4 linked regions of the Tribolium castaneum genome follow. The protein of the gene in region 1 purifies or fractionates together with the protein of each later gene. This does not show direct contact. Links are inferred from orthologs where the notes say so. Each region holds a gene or a part of one and is shown in the gene's direction. Other genes may lie near its edges.

Region 1 (2,970 bases):
ATTGTTTTAATTTTTTTTATTATTTTATTATTTTTTTTTATTAATTATTTTTAATTTTTGTTTTTAAATTAAAATGTTCCAACAAAAAAATTTTTCTTGAATCACACTCGCATACGCTCGTTGCATAACGACAGTCCTCGAACTTTAAGCTTGATTTTTCGCACTCGTATTGTTAATAACAATTGTTATTAATGCATTGTTTATATTTTTTGTAAAAAATATGTAAGACCTACCGGTGGCGCCGCATGGGGCGTCCAAGTAATCGATAATTTTCATGTCGTGCACCTTCATTACGGTCAGAAAGGCCGTTCCGGGGGCCACTGAAATGAAATTCCCGTAATAAATTCGCACAACACAAACGCCCAGTTCCTTCAGTCTTTCAATGACTTGTTTGACAAAACTCAACTCTACGTATCTCTCCATTGTTCTAGACGCGTTAATTAGAGCGACCGTCGGTATAGAGGGGTGAAGGCCTAAGAAAACTTGCGATTTTTTATCAATAATGTGTCTAAAGTTTGACTCAAAATCGGACAGAACTAAACTTTTGCGTTTTCGGGTGCCCGACCCATCGTGCGTGTAGTTCAAAGGAACGGTTATAATTTGATCAATTATTTGTTTATAACACTCGCAAACATCATTGTACAAGGCGCCGCTTTCCGCCAAGGCCCCCAGAATTTTAGCCAGGAGGATAAACCCGCACGAATATCGCTCCTTTTTAGCGCTCTTATCGTCATTAATTGGGAGTAGTTTAACTCGTGTCCGGCAGTCCGTGTTGGCCCGTTCGACCGCCAACCCAAAATTGAACAAATCAGCGTTTGCTTGCACTATCACACAAATCCCGCAATTGTCCCCTTCGTTCAGCTCCTTAATCGTGTGCAGAATTTGACGGGAGCTTGGCACCGTCTCCTCCCCTGCAAAACAGTAAGACAGGGCCAATAATTCGGTAAATTACCCAGAATGGCAGCCGTTAGCATCCCTTTGCCCACACAAACGGCGTGAATTAGGTCAGTCCCAGCGACACCGCCTGACAATAGTCGGACCTTTGACAAGTTCCTGTAATCCCTTTGGATCACGACATTGCCGTAGTCGAGCAAGACCACGTCGTGGTTGAGCGCAGTGAGCCCCAGAAGGGCGTCGCGCACCTTCACCGGCCCACTCCCCACATCAAGGGGGCTCTCCATTTAATTTTGAGATAACCTAAAATAACACAAAACAAACAGGAAAGTGGCGCCCTCTACATCAGTGGCCCCCGACTTGTGGGCCGGTTGTTTTGTAAAAAATATTTTTTTTTCGAAAATTTATTTTTGAATTTTGAACAATATGTAAAAATCCCTAGTTTTTGCCCGTGCAAATGGAAAGTCCCTACGAAGGTGTCAGGCAACTGTCAGAATTTCCCGCCACTCTTAACCGCAATTGTTGATTTTTATTAAAACGTGAAAATGTTTAGTGTTGATCAGTTTGATATCAGTAACAACGGCGGTTTCGTAAATGATGATAACCAAGGGTCCACTGCCAAGAAAAAACAGGTTTGTGGGGCGCTTTTTGTGCTTGTCTTTACTCCTCTGATTGCAGCAAGTGAGGCGCATGCAAAGTGTTGTCCCTTTGTTCATTTCGCATATCCTTGAGTGCACCGATGAGGAGTTCAATTTGTACGGGATGCCGGTCCATTTCGTAAGTTTTATCCCGTTTTTTTGTGTTTTTTGTATGAAAAATTCAGGCTGATGTCGTGGGGGTTTTGAAAGACTTTGAGGTCCAGACGACCAAAGCCACGTGCACCATTGAGGACCACAGTGCCTCCATTAAGGCCATTATGTGGCTGGAGACCGATAACGTAAGTAGATTTGTTCGTTTTCGTTTCGTTATTTTTGCCAGCAGGACACTGTGACGGCCCTTCCCCCCGTCAAGGAAAATTGCTACGTGCGTGTTTTCGGCTCAGTGCGCACCCAAGACGGTGAAAAAATGATCATGATTCTCAAAATCCTTCCAGTTGATGATTTAAACATCGTCACAAATCATCTCTTGGAGATTATTCAAGCTAAATTATACGCTGAAAGACTGGCCGATGGGAGGCTCCCAGCTGCTAATTTATCGACCACTGTGGCCACAACGTCCACGTCAGCTGCTGCAAATAATTCGTCGGGACTTAAGCCGATGCAAGTCAAAATTATCAATTTGTTGAAACCTATCAAAAGTAGGACTGGGTTGAGTAGGAGCGAAATTATGCAGCACTTTGGAGCACAAGCAAGGGAGGCTGAGTGCGTATTTATTTACAGGTGGGGTTTTGTTTGATGGTGTGTTCCAGAGTCGCTTTGGATTTCTTGCTGGATGAGGGGCATGTGTATACTACTGTTGACACCGATCATTACAAGGCCACAGATGCGGATTAAATTTGTTTCATTTTATTTTTTTGTACACCCTGGTTGCTTTACATTTTTCGTATACTTTAAATACATTTTCCTTTGCAAAAGCTCGTGTTTCTTTTACCTATTAATCCTCACACATCCTTATAAAGGTCTTAGAAAAGATTAAAACCACTAAAGTTGACTTTTTTTACGATGAGTTAAAAGTTGATGGATGAAAAAAATACCAACATGTGCGGTTGGGTTATTTTATGAACTCATTTTAGTTTCTGTACCTTTACGGACGATACAGAAACAAAAATAAAAGATAAATTAGAGAAATTTCTTTCAGTTGAGTTTAAAGTTCAGGCAACCAATTATACTCACATTGAGATAAATTGTTGCTAGGTGAAAAATAAAGAGTACGCGTGTTTTTTTTTTCATGTACAAGGTAGTGTGGATAAAACATTTTAGCGAAATCTTTAAGTATTCGTACCTTCTTTATTCCAAAAAATACACAATTACATCGTAGCCTTTGTTTAAGGAAAATTTAATAATGTAGGCACAATTTTTTTCGATTATTATTTGTGTAATAGAGCTAAAGTGTTTTTGTACTTTGTGGAAGCTACAA
Region 2 (4,201 bases), about 1.2 Mb from region 1:
ATTAGAAAAATTCATTGCTTAACTGACCTACACCTTATTAATGAAATGATTTTGTGCAACTTATTCTAAATAAAATTTCAGCGATATGTAAATAAAACAAACTTTAATAAAAAACATAAGCGTAACATTTGCTTCACTTCCCTTGTCGTTACAATTGCCCTCCGGTCCCCGACTTCCCCAAAACGATTTTATTATACGCCGAATTCATTTGCTCCAAGAAAATAAACGTGAGGACGGTGTGCGGCCCTAACCTGAAGTAGTACGGAGTGAAACCTTTCCACAAAGCGAACGGCCCTTCGTTCTTCACGACTTTGACTAAAACATCGAGGGCGCCCGAGTACTCCGGCTTACCATTGATTGTTTTCATGTTTTGAATCCTGAAATAGTAAAATCAGAGACGTGATTTTGAATCAATTTTCTACCTAGTTTTGGCAATATCGACTGGCATCGAGGCGGCCGTTGTGACCAACCCCGAAATCATAGAGGCACAGAAATGAAGGAAAATCCCGTCGTGGAAGAATCCCGTATTTAAGAGCATTTGCTTGGCTTGCGAGTACGTGGCCAACTGGGCCGCATTAACCACCATAGCGCGCCCCATTGTGGGGATTGCGCCCCTCCAAAGGGTCAAAACCCCTTCCTCCTTTGTTATCCTGAAGAGAGCGTCGAACACGTTCTTGTAGTTGCGCCTTTCGGCGGCTGGGAGACGTCCGTCTGCGGTCATCCGAATTAGGGACACTTCGGCTGGGGTTCCCACAAACGCGCCACACACGCCTGCCATCATCCCCAACCCCGCCTTCACAATGAAGCTTGGGGGCTTCCCCTCCTCGGAAAAAGTCTCGAAAAGCCACGAGTACACCCCCAGACGGGTCGTTGTGTAAGTCGCTTGGCGCAAAAGCCCAGCTGAGAGGCCCGTATACAGGGCAAAAACCCCCTCGTTGGAGATGATTTTCTGGAGGACTTGGAACGAAGTCGCCCGCTCTTTTTGTGTGGCCGCTAGTTGCATTCGATTTTTGAGCAGGTCTAAGGGCTGGACGAAAAGGGTGCCCGCCATGCTGAAATATTTGAATTTGGCGGAGTTGTATTACCAACCTTGGTGGGTAAGAAATGAGCGGATTAAGGATAAGATAAGAGGGAAATCGGATTAGTTAAGCGGAGCTTACCCAGCTGATCCCCCGAATAAGAATTTGATGTACTTGGGCATTGTTTTCTCTTTGTTGTCCCCCATTTCGAATTTGGACTTCACTGGTATTTAACGCGTCAAACTGTCACAAGAAAGTGACTCGATCGTTCGTATTTCATGTAAATCGTTTCGTTTATTTACGATTTGTGGCTGTGGAGGTTGCAAAGGTCATTTCGTACGAGAAAAGCACTTTTATGTCGATTTTATGGTGGGGCAATCGTGCCAACATAGGCAATTCATTATGCAGATTTGCTATGCGGGTTGCCGAAGTAGGTCAATCAAACTGTCAAATGAATCGCAACATTTTCAAAATTGGACGAAAATCACAACGTAAACAGCAGGTGAGCCCCATTGTCCCCCCTTTACGAACAGTACCCCACTTTTGGCCAATTTACTCGCACCTTTGTGGCGATACAATTCTGATAACCTCAAAAGGTAGGATGGCTAGCAACATCCCCGATTTGTTCTACTCCTGCGAGATCTGCGGCCTGGAGGGCTTGAGTGAAGACGAGTTCCGGACGCACACACGCACTGCCCACGTCGACGGCAATGCCGTGTGCCCCTTTTGCGAGTTATCGGCCGTCTCGCCCGCTGAACTCATCCTTCACGTCAACCAGGCCCACTTGGACTACCTCACCCCCGAATCCGAGTCCAACATGACCTTCATCGACGACGTCAGCCCCAGGTATGGCCCCCATTGCAGTCCCGCACCTACCACCAGCAGCGCTTTTTCCAGCGAGTACAACGGTATTAATGGGGAAAGTAGTGATAATTGGAACATTCCGTCTTTGCCCAGCCATAATAAAACCAACATTAACAACATCAACCTGTCCCCGAAAGTTAACGGGGGCGGCGAACTCAGTCCGAAAAATTCCACCCACGGTCAGGGCTCCCCCTTGCGATCCAGTCTCGCCTTGAAGTTGAAGAGTGCGGCCCCCAGAATGCAGTGCCCCATGTGCAATTATACGAGCAACAGTCCAAACGAGCTCGAGGAGCACGTCAACAGGTAATTTCGGAAAAGTTAACGGAAAAGGCCAAAATTATGTAATTTTCTCATTTTTTCTTTGCTTTTTTTGTCTGTTTTGGCGAATCTATTTGAGATGAGTGAGTTTTTAGTTGCATAGTAATTTCATTTTTGCACTTTTCAGTTTATTTGAGCAAAATTGTTCGAGAAAAGTTTGTTTTTTGAAAAAAAAACACAAAAAAAGTAAAAGATAACGCTTTTGTTTATACTATTTATTATTATTATTATTATTATTATTATTATTATCATTATTATCATTATTATTGTTGTTGTTATTTATTTTTTACGACTTTTCACACTTAACCTTGTTAGAATGATATAAAAGATGCTCATTTTTATATCTGCTCTATTATCACTTTTTTAATGTTTACACAACTATCAAATTCACACTGTATATTAAATCTGGTGAAACATCAAAATACCTAGTGTCAGTTTCGACGATTTTTCGAATCTTCACTGTAAATTTTTTGCTGTACAAAGGAAATTTCTCAAAATAAGTGAGTTTTTATTTAAAAATACACAATTTTTTTACTTGATTTAGTGATTTTTCGGCATGTTTGCACTAAATCACTCTAAACAGGTCAAAAAACGTCATTATCGATCTAATTAGTGAACTTTAATTTTGTAAAATCAGTGAGTTTCTCGCTCAAATTCCAGATAATTCTAACGAAAAAGGTCAAAATAATGTTATTTTAGATCTACGATATTTGTGACTTTTGAGGTTCAGGCAGGAATATTGCGAAAAAGTTAGGCGTAAAGTATTTAATTTTCTACTTTTATTAGAGATAATTTTTTCATGTATTTGAAGAATTTAAGCATTTAAAATGGCCTTCTTGGGAAATTTTGCAAAAATATTAGCGTGTTACTTAACAATACGAGTGTTTACCGAAACAGATCAAATTAAGATCGTTTTCGAATATCAAATGGAAATTTTTGCCGTATTAGGACATTTAATAAAATAGGTGAGTTTTTGTTACAGAATAATTATGTAATTAATGGTATTATGTTATTTCCGGGGCAGTTTTAGCGAAATCTTGCAAAATTACTGAAATTTTATGTCAAAAAATATCAAAAAAGACTCCGAAAAGGCGAAAGTTTTCTGTCTGATTTTGTAATTTTTTGGTATGCTTTTGATGAAATTTTGTGAAAGAATTGCTTTTATGGCTGAAAAACGAGTAAAAACGCTAAAATAAAATAAAAACAGTGCAATTATCTGCTTAATTTGGTGATTTTTTTGACATATTTTAGAGAAATCTTGCAAAATTACTAAGATATTAAGCTTGAATAGGCTAAAATAACTCAATTTCTTATCAAACTTTATCTTCTTTTGGGTTAATTTCCAAATTTCCTGATATTTTAGTTGAAAATGACACCATTTTTTGACTAATTTTGTGTTTTTTTCGGTTTGTTTTTTAAATTTTGTAAAATAATTGCGTTTCTACTTGAAAAAAAAAAAAAAATCGAACATACATGCTAGACAAAGTAAAAACAGTGGAATATCTACTTAATTTTGGATTTTTCGGCTTATTTTAGAGAAATTTAGTAAAATTACTAAGATATTAGGCTTAAAAATGTAAAAATAGTTAAATTTTTTATCAAATGTTGCCTTCTTCTGGGGTAATTTTAACAAAATTTTTAAATAAAATTGGCATATACATAATGTTATTTTCGATCTATATTTGTTGTTTTTTTTTTAACCTATTGTAGGCAAACGTAATCATATTCAAGTACATAATTTTCAACAATTTTTCGATATACCTATCATGGAATTATTCGAATTTATAATTAGAGTTAGCTTTTGTTTTTTTTTTTGTGAATGATAAACTAGTGCAATCTGAGGGAAAACTGTATTCTAATTAAATATTACCGTTCGAAATTTTATCATTCGACTTCCCAACTTGATTAATAAATTATGATAATCACCGTTTTGAATCAAGTTAAAAAAGTATGAAAACTTATTGTAATTATTAATTCAAATGATTACATGATATTGTCAC
Region 3 (4,215 bases), about 2.7 Mb from region 1:
GGATGAGCGAGGTCAAGTGCCCGATTTTCGGGCTAATATGGAGATCGGAGCGTTGGGGAAAATCGGGGTTTTTGGGGGTTTTGGGGCAAGGGCACTTACTTTAGGGCCGGAGACGGTGTCACTTGATCGACAGGGACATTTTGTAGCGTTTCATCATCACTTTTCGGCGCTTTGGTGCAAAGATTGGCGAAAAATTCGGGTTATATGACGATTTAAATGAAGGGAAGTTCATGATTCTACGATCAAATTTATACTGACAGCCATGATGAGATGAGCGCCGACTTTATGCCACGATATGGCTGTGATTGGTCGAAAAATTCACCAAAGGCGTGAAAGGGATGATTAATCAACGAAACTCCCAATTTCATAACATGACTCAAAACTCCCTCAAAAACCAAAATTTTAGCAACCACTAACTGCCTACATTCTCGCATTTGTGAACAAATTTACCATTTTTCAGCCAAATGAAAGAGTGATTTTTAAATCGCGGTTGAACCGCAGTATGAGCACGGCTTTCGCCTTGACTTATTTACTTCGAGTACTGGAAAAAAGAAAACACAAATTGTCAAAATGGCTGCGGGTTCATCAGTTAAAAAAAATCGCCAAAAAAATCCCAAAAATCGCACAAACAAAATACACCTGGTGTTCGACGAAAAGAAGCGTAGGTTCGTTGAATTTCGCCGTTTTTACGTGTAATGAATTGAGCACATGTCACTACATAACCTCACAGGGATTTTCTCACCGGTTTCCACAAACGCAAGCTCCAGCGCAAGAAAGAAGCCCGCGAGAAGCTCGAGCGCGACTTGAAGGAGGAGCGGAAGCGTCTCAAGTCAGAGGCGAAGGAGTCTTACAAAAAATTGGTTGTCTCCCATCGGCCAATCCCTGAATTGGAGACCCTTCTCAAAGAGGAGTATGAGGACGATGATGCCACTGTCAGAATTGAGGAGTTATCGACCGACGTGATCGCCAAAGAGAGTAACTGGATTGGGGCCAATCAGCCGATTTGTGAAGATGTTGAACAGGAAGAAAGTGAAGTCAGTGAAGTGCCTGGGATGGAATTGAAGAAGAAGGACAGTAAAGTGAATCGGAAGTTTGATTCAGAACGCGACGTGAAGCGATTACTCAAAAAGGAGGCCACCAAGAAAGTGCAGAAGAGCAAGGTTTTCCAGATGAAGACGAAAATCGAGGGGCAGAAGCAGAGGAAGAAGGCGAGGCGGGAGAACAAGCAGAAGATGAAATTGAAAGAGAAGAAGAGGAAACGGCACTGAATTGTTATTTTTGTATTAAAGAAATAAAGGATTTTTATTACTTGAGGTTATGTCATTGTGGCTAATTTCACACCAGTGGATACTAACACACCTCTTACACGTGCCCTAATAATTATTAAAAAAAATAACCCAATAAATATTCCCTTACTTTATTTAAATTTACAACAATCACTTTATTTCATACATTGGTTTCCGAATTATCACCCGATTTAAATCAGCACCTGTTGCCAACTTCACACGATTCAGTTCCATTGCGCGGGATTGCGCCAAAAGTCAAAAAATGTAGTCTGTTTTCGTGAATTAGACAATGTTTCGTGTAATTATTTCTAGTTTGTGATTTTTTATCTCCTTTATGTAAGTACTTTCGGCCCCCGTGACGTAAGTACCGTTACATTTTTTGTTAGGTTAAGTCATGTCACTACACGACGAAATCCCGGCTTTTTCCATTTGGGAGACCTTAAGCGCGACAATTCCGGCCCTAATGAGCATGAAACCGTCCGAAAAGAGCGCCGAACATTTGGCTAAAATAATCAAATCGGGGGATTTCACAACCATTTTCGTCTACAGCAGGGACCCCCTGAGCAGTCTTGACGACTACCGAAGGATCGCCGGGAAGTACAAGTCCTTCACGACGTGGTTTCTCGGCCGCTTTTTCTACCTTCTGAGTTGCGAAAAGTTGTGCAAAAGTCACAATGTTTACGTTGAGATCCAGTTGTGTGTCTTGGAACAGCTATCAAACACACAATTGAGCGTTTACGATGAGTTGGCACGGGACTATTGCGAAACCCTGAACAGTTTGTGCCATTTTGTCAAATCCGGGCACAGCACCTTAACTCTCAACGTTTTTGTCCCCGAGAAATACGCAGATTTGTGCCAGAAATTGAACCTCGAGCCGATCGCTATCGAAATCAATCAGAGAAACTTCCCCGATTTTTTCCTCAATTTGTTGAGGATTGTTAAATTTATTTTGGGCCAAAGCGTAGAGTCTGACTGTTACACAAGCGCCACGTACCGGAATTTGGACGATTTGTTGTTTTTTCTTTCCTATTCTTCAGTCGCCGTAAAAATCGAAATTCTAAAGATTTATCTCGATTTGGCCAAAAAATTCGACAAGAAGAACGATTTCGGTGACTTAATCCGGTTTAAAATGGAGCTGTTCGGGCGATATTTCGAACAGTTAGTTTATGAAATTTACAATTGTAAAATAGCCACAAGTACAAAAGAATTCCAATCGTTTGAACTCATCACGTTTGAGTTTTTCGGCCAGAATTTGGATACCCAAATTTTCGAAAAATTGAGCGAGTTTTTGCTCACCAAAACCGGCGAAATTGCGCCATCGGAGCCACTTTTGAATTTTTGTAAACGCAAGAGGTGTACCCCCTTGTTTGGAGAATACAATTATGAAAGTTTCGTCAAAACGGCCTTAGCTGATTTCAATACGTCGGTACTTTGTGGTTTTAAGTCATTTTTGTTGACCCAAGTTAGAAATATAAGACAGGAGGCTTGTAAAATCAAGTGTGTACATTCGGACAAATGGAAAATTTTTCGTGGCCAATTTATGCAACAAATTGAAGCCACCGATTGCACTAAAGACTGTAAAATACCCCAATTTTTGAAATTTCTGACCCACCTTGCAACAATCCTTACCGAAGTCGCAATCGAAATGAAAAACTCGAATTTGGAATTTTTTGAGGAGAAAATTTTCCTCATCAAAATCCTGGCACTCCTCAATCGCCATTTCGCCACGTGTGACAACAACGTGCCAATGCCCTCAATTTTCGACTGTTTTTTGAGTCTAGTCTTCGTTACCAGTCCCCCAAACGTTACTTTTTTCTTCGATATGTTTTCTTGTATTTTTGTGCAAAATCAACTCAGCTTTGGACACTTTCAAGGCACGAGCGATTTCCCACGATACAAAAAGGAAATGACCGAATTTTGCAAATACGTCACTCGTTACGCCCCAAAGGACGTCGCGTTTGAATACTTGAATGAATTTTTGGCGCGAATTTCGAGCGGTTTTTTCGAAATCGCCCAAATTTACGAAATTGAATCAAACTTTATGAAAATCACCAAACAAATGAATAACGTGGGGGTTGTCAGGCATTTAGCCCACATTTTGACAATCTTTCAAAACCCAGACCGGGTCATTTCGGAAATCCTCACACCGGCCCTTTCGTCATCAAACGAACGGGTTTTGGAAGAAGTGACCGAAGCCCTGCCTGACATTATTTGCGTCTCGTCGAGTGATTTTGTCAAACTGACACGAATCGAAGAGTGTCAAGTCAAAATTGACATTTTTTGTAAAAAATGTCATGACTTGACAAGTGACGGATTGAGTGTCACTTTTGCCAAAATTGACGTCGATTTGACAACTCTCCAAGGCGCCATTTTGAAAAACGTCCTCAAATTCCTCACTCTTGACAATGCGGGCCTCAAATCGAGAGCCTTGGAGGTGTTGCCGTTTTGCTCCAACCACATCCTCAAATTCCATTCGGGCAACGTTGCCAAAATTTGGGTCGAAAAAATCGGCGATTCTGACGAAAACGTGCGAAAAACGTTCGCGAAAGTGGTCCCAAAAATTATCAAGTGTGCGCAAGAGAATCAAGTTTTGAGCGACACTACTAAAAGTGAAACAATTGAAATACTCTTCAATTGTTTATTGAGGCTTTGCAAGAGGAGTCTCCAAACTAGCGATTTTACCTTGCAAGAGACACTCTTGTGTACAGTTGAGGAAATTTGCAACGTTAGATGCGAGAGAACTGTTTTACCAACAATTCGAATTTTGATTTATTTCATCATGGTGCCGACGTCCAAACATTCGCTAATCGCCGTAAATAAATTCTTCAAGTTGGCTGAGCTCCACGACACCACCCCCAGCCAACTTTACAAGCAAAACAAGCGCGAGATGTGCGAACTGATCGCACACTTGTGCATTGTGAACCAGACT
Region 4 (3,943 bases), about 2.8 Mb from region 1:
CCCAGTAGTCCGCAAAATGTGCCTCAGAATCAACACTACGTTACGGACTTGCCCGATCCTCACCAAATTGGCGTCCCGATCAAGGACGAGTACGAAGAAGAGCAGAAAAAACGCTACTCTTTGGTCAACCAACAGGAGCAACAACTGATCGAAGAATTGAAACAGCAACAAATGGTCCACTACCAACAGCGGGATTTAGGGACTCCGAACCAAGGTTACCAAGGATTGAGTGTTATTTCAAACAGTACGTTAAACCGAAACGGTCACACTTTGAGTCCGTACAATTCATGGAGCGCGTCTCAATTGTTGCACGAACACGAACGCCGTCACAGTCCCATGGAGAATATGGACGATCAAGTCAACACCCATCAGGACCTCTTGATGAACCCCCAAGCCGACCATATGTCCCAGGACCATATGAGTCTGAATGGGCACTACCCGACCCAGCACCACATCCCGCCACCCGTCCCACCGCTACCGGCGTTCAATTCGAACGGTTATCCCGTCAATTACAACATTTATGGGGTGCACCAAGGCAATAACCACATGTATCAGACCCGCAATGAGGCCCTAGGCCCGTTTAACCCCAGTCTTCAGGGGTCGCTCTCGTCGGTGAACAGTGGTGACAAGAAGCGGCGGAATGTGACAATGGTGTAACGGTGCGTGATCACAGAGACTTATACGACCTATTTATGACACGAGGAGGAATAAAATAAGCGTTTTTGTTGATTATTTCTTTTTTGTAAATTGATTCTGCTAGTCAATGTTGATGTACGTTAATATACAGCCAGTACGTAGCATGTAAGTGATTGTTTGTAGTTTTATACAAATTTTTTGAGACTGATCTCACGTTTTTTGACTATTTGACAATGTGGGTGGCCGTTCTATATCGTAATCGTAATCTTAGGCTTTTGTACATATACCTAGTGGTACGATCAAATCTGTATATATTTTCATAAGTTTTGTAATTTGTCGACAAATATAAACTTGCAATAAACCATTTTTAGTTCGATCAGTTTTTCTTACGAAAATACAATTAACCGGCCCTTACGTTCTGAATAAAATATCGCGCGATTTTTCCGATTTAAAAACTCGAACGCGTTGGCACCTTAGCCACATCCAGCAATCTGGGGACTTTGTGTGCCACAAACATGGCTGCTGCTGTCATCTGTCCGTCAAAAATCCCAAATTCGAATTTGTTTTGGTTAAAAACCGCAAAAAATGTGTTTTAAATGGGATGTTTACTAATTTCCTCTTTACTAAATGTAAGCGCACGATTCTGTAGCACTGGGGCACGTCCAGCAATCATGAGATACCTAAACGTGGCCGAGAAAAACGATGCCGCCAAAAATATCGCTGCAATTCTGTCCCGGGGGGCTTCACAGAAGGTTTGTAGTCACTCGGTTGAGCATTTTAACAATGAGAAAAATTCCAGCGTGAGGGCTTCTCGCCCTACAACAAAATCTACGAATTCGACGCGACCGTGATGGGCCAACAGGCCCACATGATCATGACTTCGGTTTCAGGCCATTTATTAAATTACGAATTCGGGCCCAGTTTTCGCAACTGGAAGTCGTGCAATCCTGTTGCACTGTTCGACGCACCGGTTGTTAAAATGTGCCCGGAAGATTACCAAAAAATTAAGGTTAGACGTGGTGTCCCCAGTTTTTAGACTAAACCTACTTGTAGCGCACTTTAGAGCGGGAAATCAGGTCGTGTCAGGGGCTGATAATCTGGACCGATTGCGATCGCGAAGGGGAAAATATCGGGTTTGAAATAATCAAGGTTTGTAGCGACGTTAAGCCCAATTTGAGGATTTATCGCGCCAAGTTTTCCGAAATCACGGCCGCTTCCATATTTAGGGCCCTAAATACGCTAGGACAACCCAACAAGAACGTAAGTGACGCGGTTGATGTACGACAAGAGTTGGACTTGAGGACAGGTCAGTTCTTTGCTTGTTGTAATTTATTGTTGAAGAAACGTGGTTAAACAGGAGCTGCTTTTACCAGATTGCAAACCCTGCGGTTACAGAGAGTTTTCCCCCAAAAGCTCGCCGATAGACTGATAAGTTACGGCTCTTGCCAGTTCCCCACTTTGGGGTTTGTGGTAGAAAGGTACCAAGCCATTCAGGATTTCATCCCAGAACCGTTTTGGAAAATCAAAAGTTAGTTTAAATACCAATTTTCATGATTAAAAAAACGGTTATTTCGCAGTGAATCACACTGTGAACGACATAACGACCGAATTCACGTGGAAACGCGACCGCCTCTTCGACAAAAACGCCTGCGAGGCAATTTTGGACATTTGTAAGGAATCTCCAAACGCAACCGTCGAAAAGGTCGAAGGCAAGCCCAAAAGCAAGTGGCGCCCTTTGCCCCTAGACACCGTCGAAATGGAGAAAACCGTCTCCCGAAAACTCAAAATCACGGCTAAAGACACGATGAAAATCGCCGAAAAACTGTACACTCAAGGGTTGATCAGTTACCCCCGAACCGAAACAAACATCTTCCCTAAGGAATTAAACTTAGCGAACTTGGTAACATTGCAACAAAACGACCAACGTTGGGGCGCTTTCGCGCACCGCATAATGAACGAAGGGGGCCCCGCTCCCAGACAGGGCAAAAAGTCAGACCAGGCCCACCCTCCCATACACCCAACAAAACACGCGGATAATTTAACGGGAAATGAGCAACGCGTTTACGAATACATCGTGCGCCATTTCCTAGCTTGCGTCCACAAGGACGCTCAAGGTTTCGAAACCGTGGTCACGGCGGACATTGCTGGGGAAAAATTCACAGCCAAAGGGCTAATAATCTTGGAAAAAAACTACCTCGAAGTGTACACCTACGAAAAATGGAACGCCAAAGAAATCCACAGCTACCAACAAGGCGACACTTTCATCCCCTCAGTTTTGGAGCTTTACGAAGGCGCAACTGCGCCCCCGAAGTTACTAACCGAAGCCGACTTGATCGCGTTGATGGAAAAGCACGGCATTGGGACCGATGCCACCCACGCCGAGCACATCGACACTATCAAAACGCGGGAATACGTGGGCTTGCATGAAAATATTTATTTCGTCCCGGGCACCCTTGGCATGGGCCTGGTTGAGGGTTACAATAATATCGGGCTAGAAGTGAGTCTGGCTAAGCCGATTCTACGGGCCGATTTTGAGAAGGACTTGAAGCTGATTTGCGACGGTTTGAAAGACCCGGAAGTTGTGCGGAGAGAACAAATTCAGAAATATCGGGCGGTTTTTGAAACTGTGGTTGAGAAAATGAGGCAAATTGACGAATGCTTGGCTAATCGGCTGGCTGATCGGCCACAGGTCGTTGAGGATGAACACTATGAGAATGTGGAAGTTAGGCCGGTTTTGAAATGTCCAAAATGTGGGAATGATATGACCATTAGGAACAAAAAAAATAACGCGGGGAAGTTTATCTCGTGTACGGGTTATCCAGACTGTCGGAATGCGATCTGGTTGTCGCAAAATGTGGAGACTATTGAAGTTTTGGACGAGAGTTGTCCGCAGGTAAGTGGTAAAATCACGGATTGATCCCAAACTTACCGATTAAAAAAATAACAAACATTTATTTTTATCAAATAGTGACGTCCGCTGGGGACAACGATCGGTGATAAAGTGAATAAATTGTGGGAGAATATCGATAAATCGTCATTAACAAAAACATAATCACTTTAAGTGAGATGCAGATAAATTAGGTAATAATTGGCTGCAAAAATGGTAAATTTGCGACAGAAAAATACTTAAATAATCATCTGGAAAAAAGTAAAGACATAACAATAGAATATGATGTTTTACGAAAAGGAAATTTTAATGTTTCCGCTCAGTCTATGCAATTCGTTTTATAATAATTATTGTATGAAGATTATAAATGTTTGAATTTTTCGGCCAGGTTTTATTAAAATACCGAGACAAGACCAAATT

The links.
Region 2: the proteins of Rpa2 (region 1) and zinc finger-containing ubiquitin peptidase 1 purify together in Homo sapiens (affinity purification with western blotting; 3 studies listed by BioGRID, with this or other methods). This does not show direct contact. The link is inferred for Tribolium castaneum from reciprocal best matches to the Homo sapiens genes RPA2 and ZUP1.
Region 3: the proteins of Rpa2 (region 1) and serine/threonine-protein kinase ATR purify together in Homo sapiens (affinity purification with western blotting; 3 studies listed by BioGRID, with this or other methods). This does not show direct contact. The link is inferred for Tribolium castaneum from reciprocal best matches to the Homo sapiens genes RPA2 and ATR.
Region 4: the proteins of Rpa2 (region 1) and Top3alpha purify together in Homo sapiens (affinity purification with mass spectrometry; 4 studies listed by BioGRID and IntAct, with this or other methods). This does not show direct contact. The link is inferred for Tribolium castaneum from reciprocal best matches to the Homo sapiens genes RPA2 and TOP3A.

Annotation. Positions count from the first base shown.
Region 1 is NC_087399.1:4,631,349-4,634,318, forward strand, and holds Rpa2 (replication protein A2), read left to right. Parts: upstream 1-1,439; coding exon 1,440-1,526; intron 1,527-1,572; coding exon 1,573-1,671; intron 1,672-1,717; coding exon 1,718-1,831; intron 1,832-1,875; coding exon 1,876-2,255; intron 2,256-2,302; coding exon 2,303-2,387; 3' UTR 2,388-2,467; downstream 2,468-2,970. Other genes in the region: triokinase/FMN cyclase, read right to left, coding at 234-911, 953-1,181. UniProt on the Homo sapiens protein: As part of the heterotrimeric replication protein A complex (RPA/RP-A), binds and stabilizes single-stranded DNA intermediates that form during DNA replication or upon DNA stress.
Region 2 is NC_087399.1:5,853,371-5,857,571, forward strand, and holds the start of zinc finger-containing ubiquitin peptidase 1, read left to right. Parts: upstream 1-1,391; 5' UTR 1,392-1,521; intron 1,522-1,615; exon of another isoform or gene 1,616-1,619; 5' UTR 1,620-1,620; coding exon 1,621-1,865; intron 1,866-1,916; coding exon 1,917-2,186; intron 2,187-4,201. Other genes in the region: mitochondrial 2-oxoglutarate/malate carrier protein, read right to left, coding at 149-377, 423-1,052, 1,161-1,225. UniProt on the Homo sapiens protein: Deubiquitinase with endodeubiquitinase activity that specifically interacts with and cleaves 'Lys-63'-linked long polyubiquitin chains. Shows only weak activity against 'Lys-11' and 'Lys-48'-linked chains.
Region 3 is NC_087399.1:7,319,176-7,323,390, reverse strand, and holds the start of serine/threonine-protein kinase ATR, read left to right. Parts: upstream 1-1,405; 5' UTR 1,406-1,680; coding exon 1,681-4,215. Other genes in the region: vito (nucleolar protein 12), read left to right, coding at 571-665, 731-1,268. UniProt on the Homo sapiens protein: Serine/threonine protein kinase which activates checkpoint signaling upon genotoxic stresses such as ionizing radiation (IR), ultraviolet light (UV), or DNA replication stalling, thereby acting as a DNA damage sensor.
Region 4 is NC_087399.1:1,861,469-1,865,411, reverse strand, and holds the start of Top3alpha (DNA topoisomerase 3-alpha), read left to right. Parts: upstream 1-1,133; 5' UTR 1,134-1,232; coding exon 1,233-1,388; intron 1,389-1,435; coding exon 1,436-1,645; intron 1,646-1,689; coding exon 1,690-1,942; intron 1,943-1,993; coding exon 1,994-2,164; intron 2,165-2,213; coding exon 2,214-3,529; intron 3,530-3,943. Other genes in the region: calcium-activated chloride channel regulator 4, read left to right, coding at 1-657. UniProt on the Homo sapiens protein: Releases the supercoiling and torsional tension of DNA introduced during the DNA replication and transcription by transiently cleaving and rejoining one strand of the DNA duplex.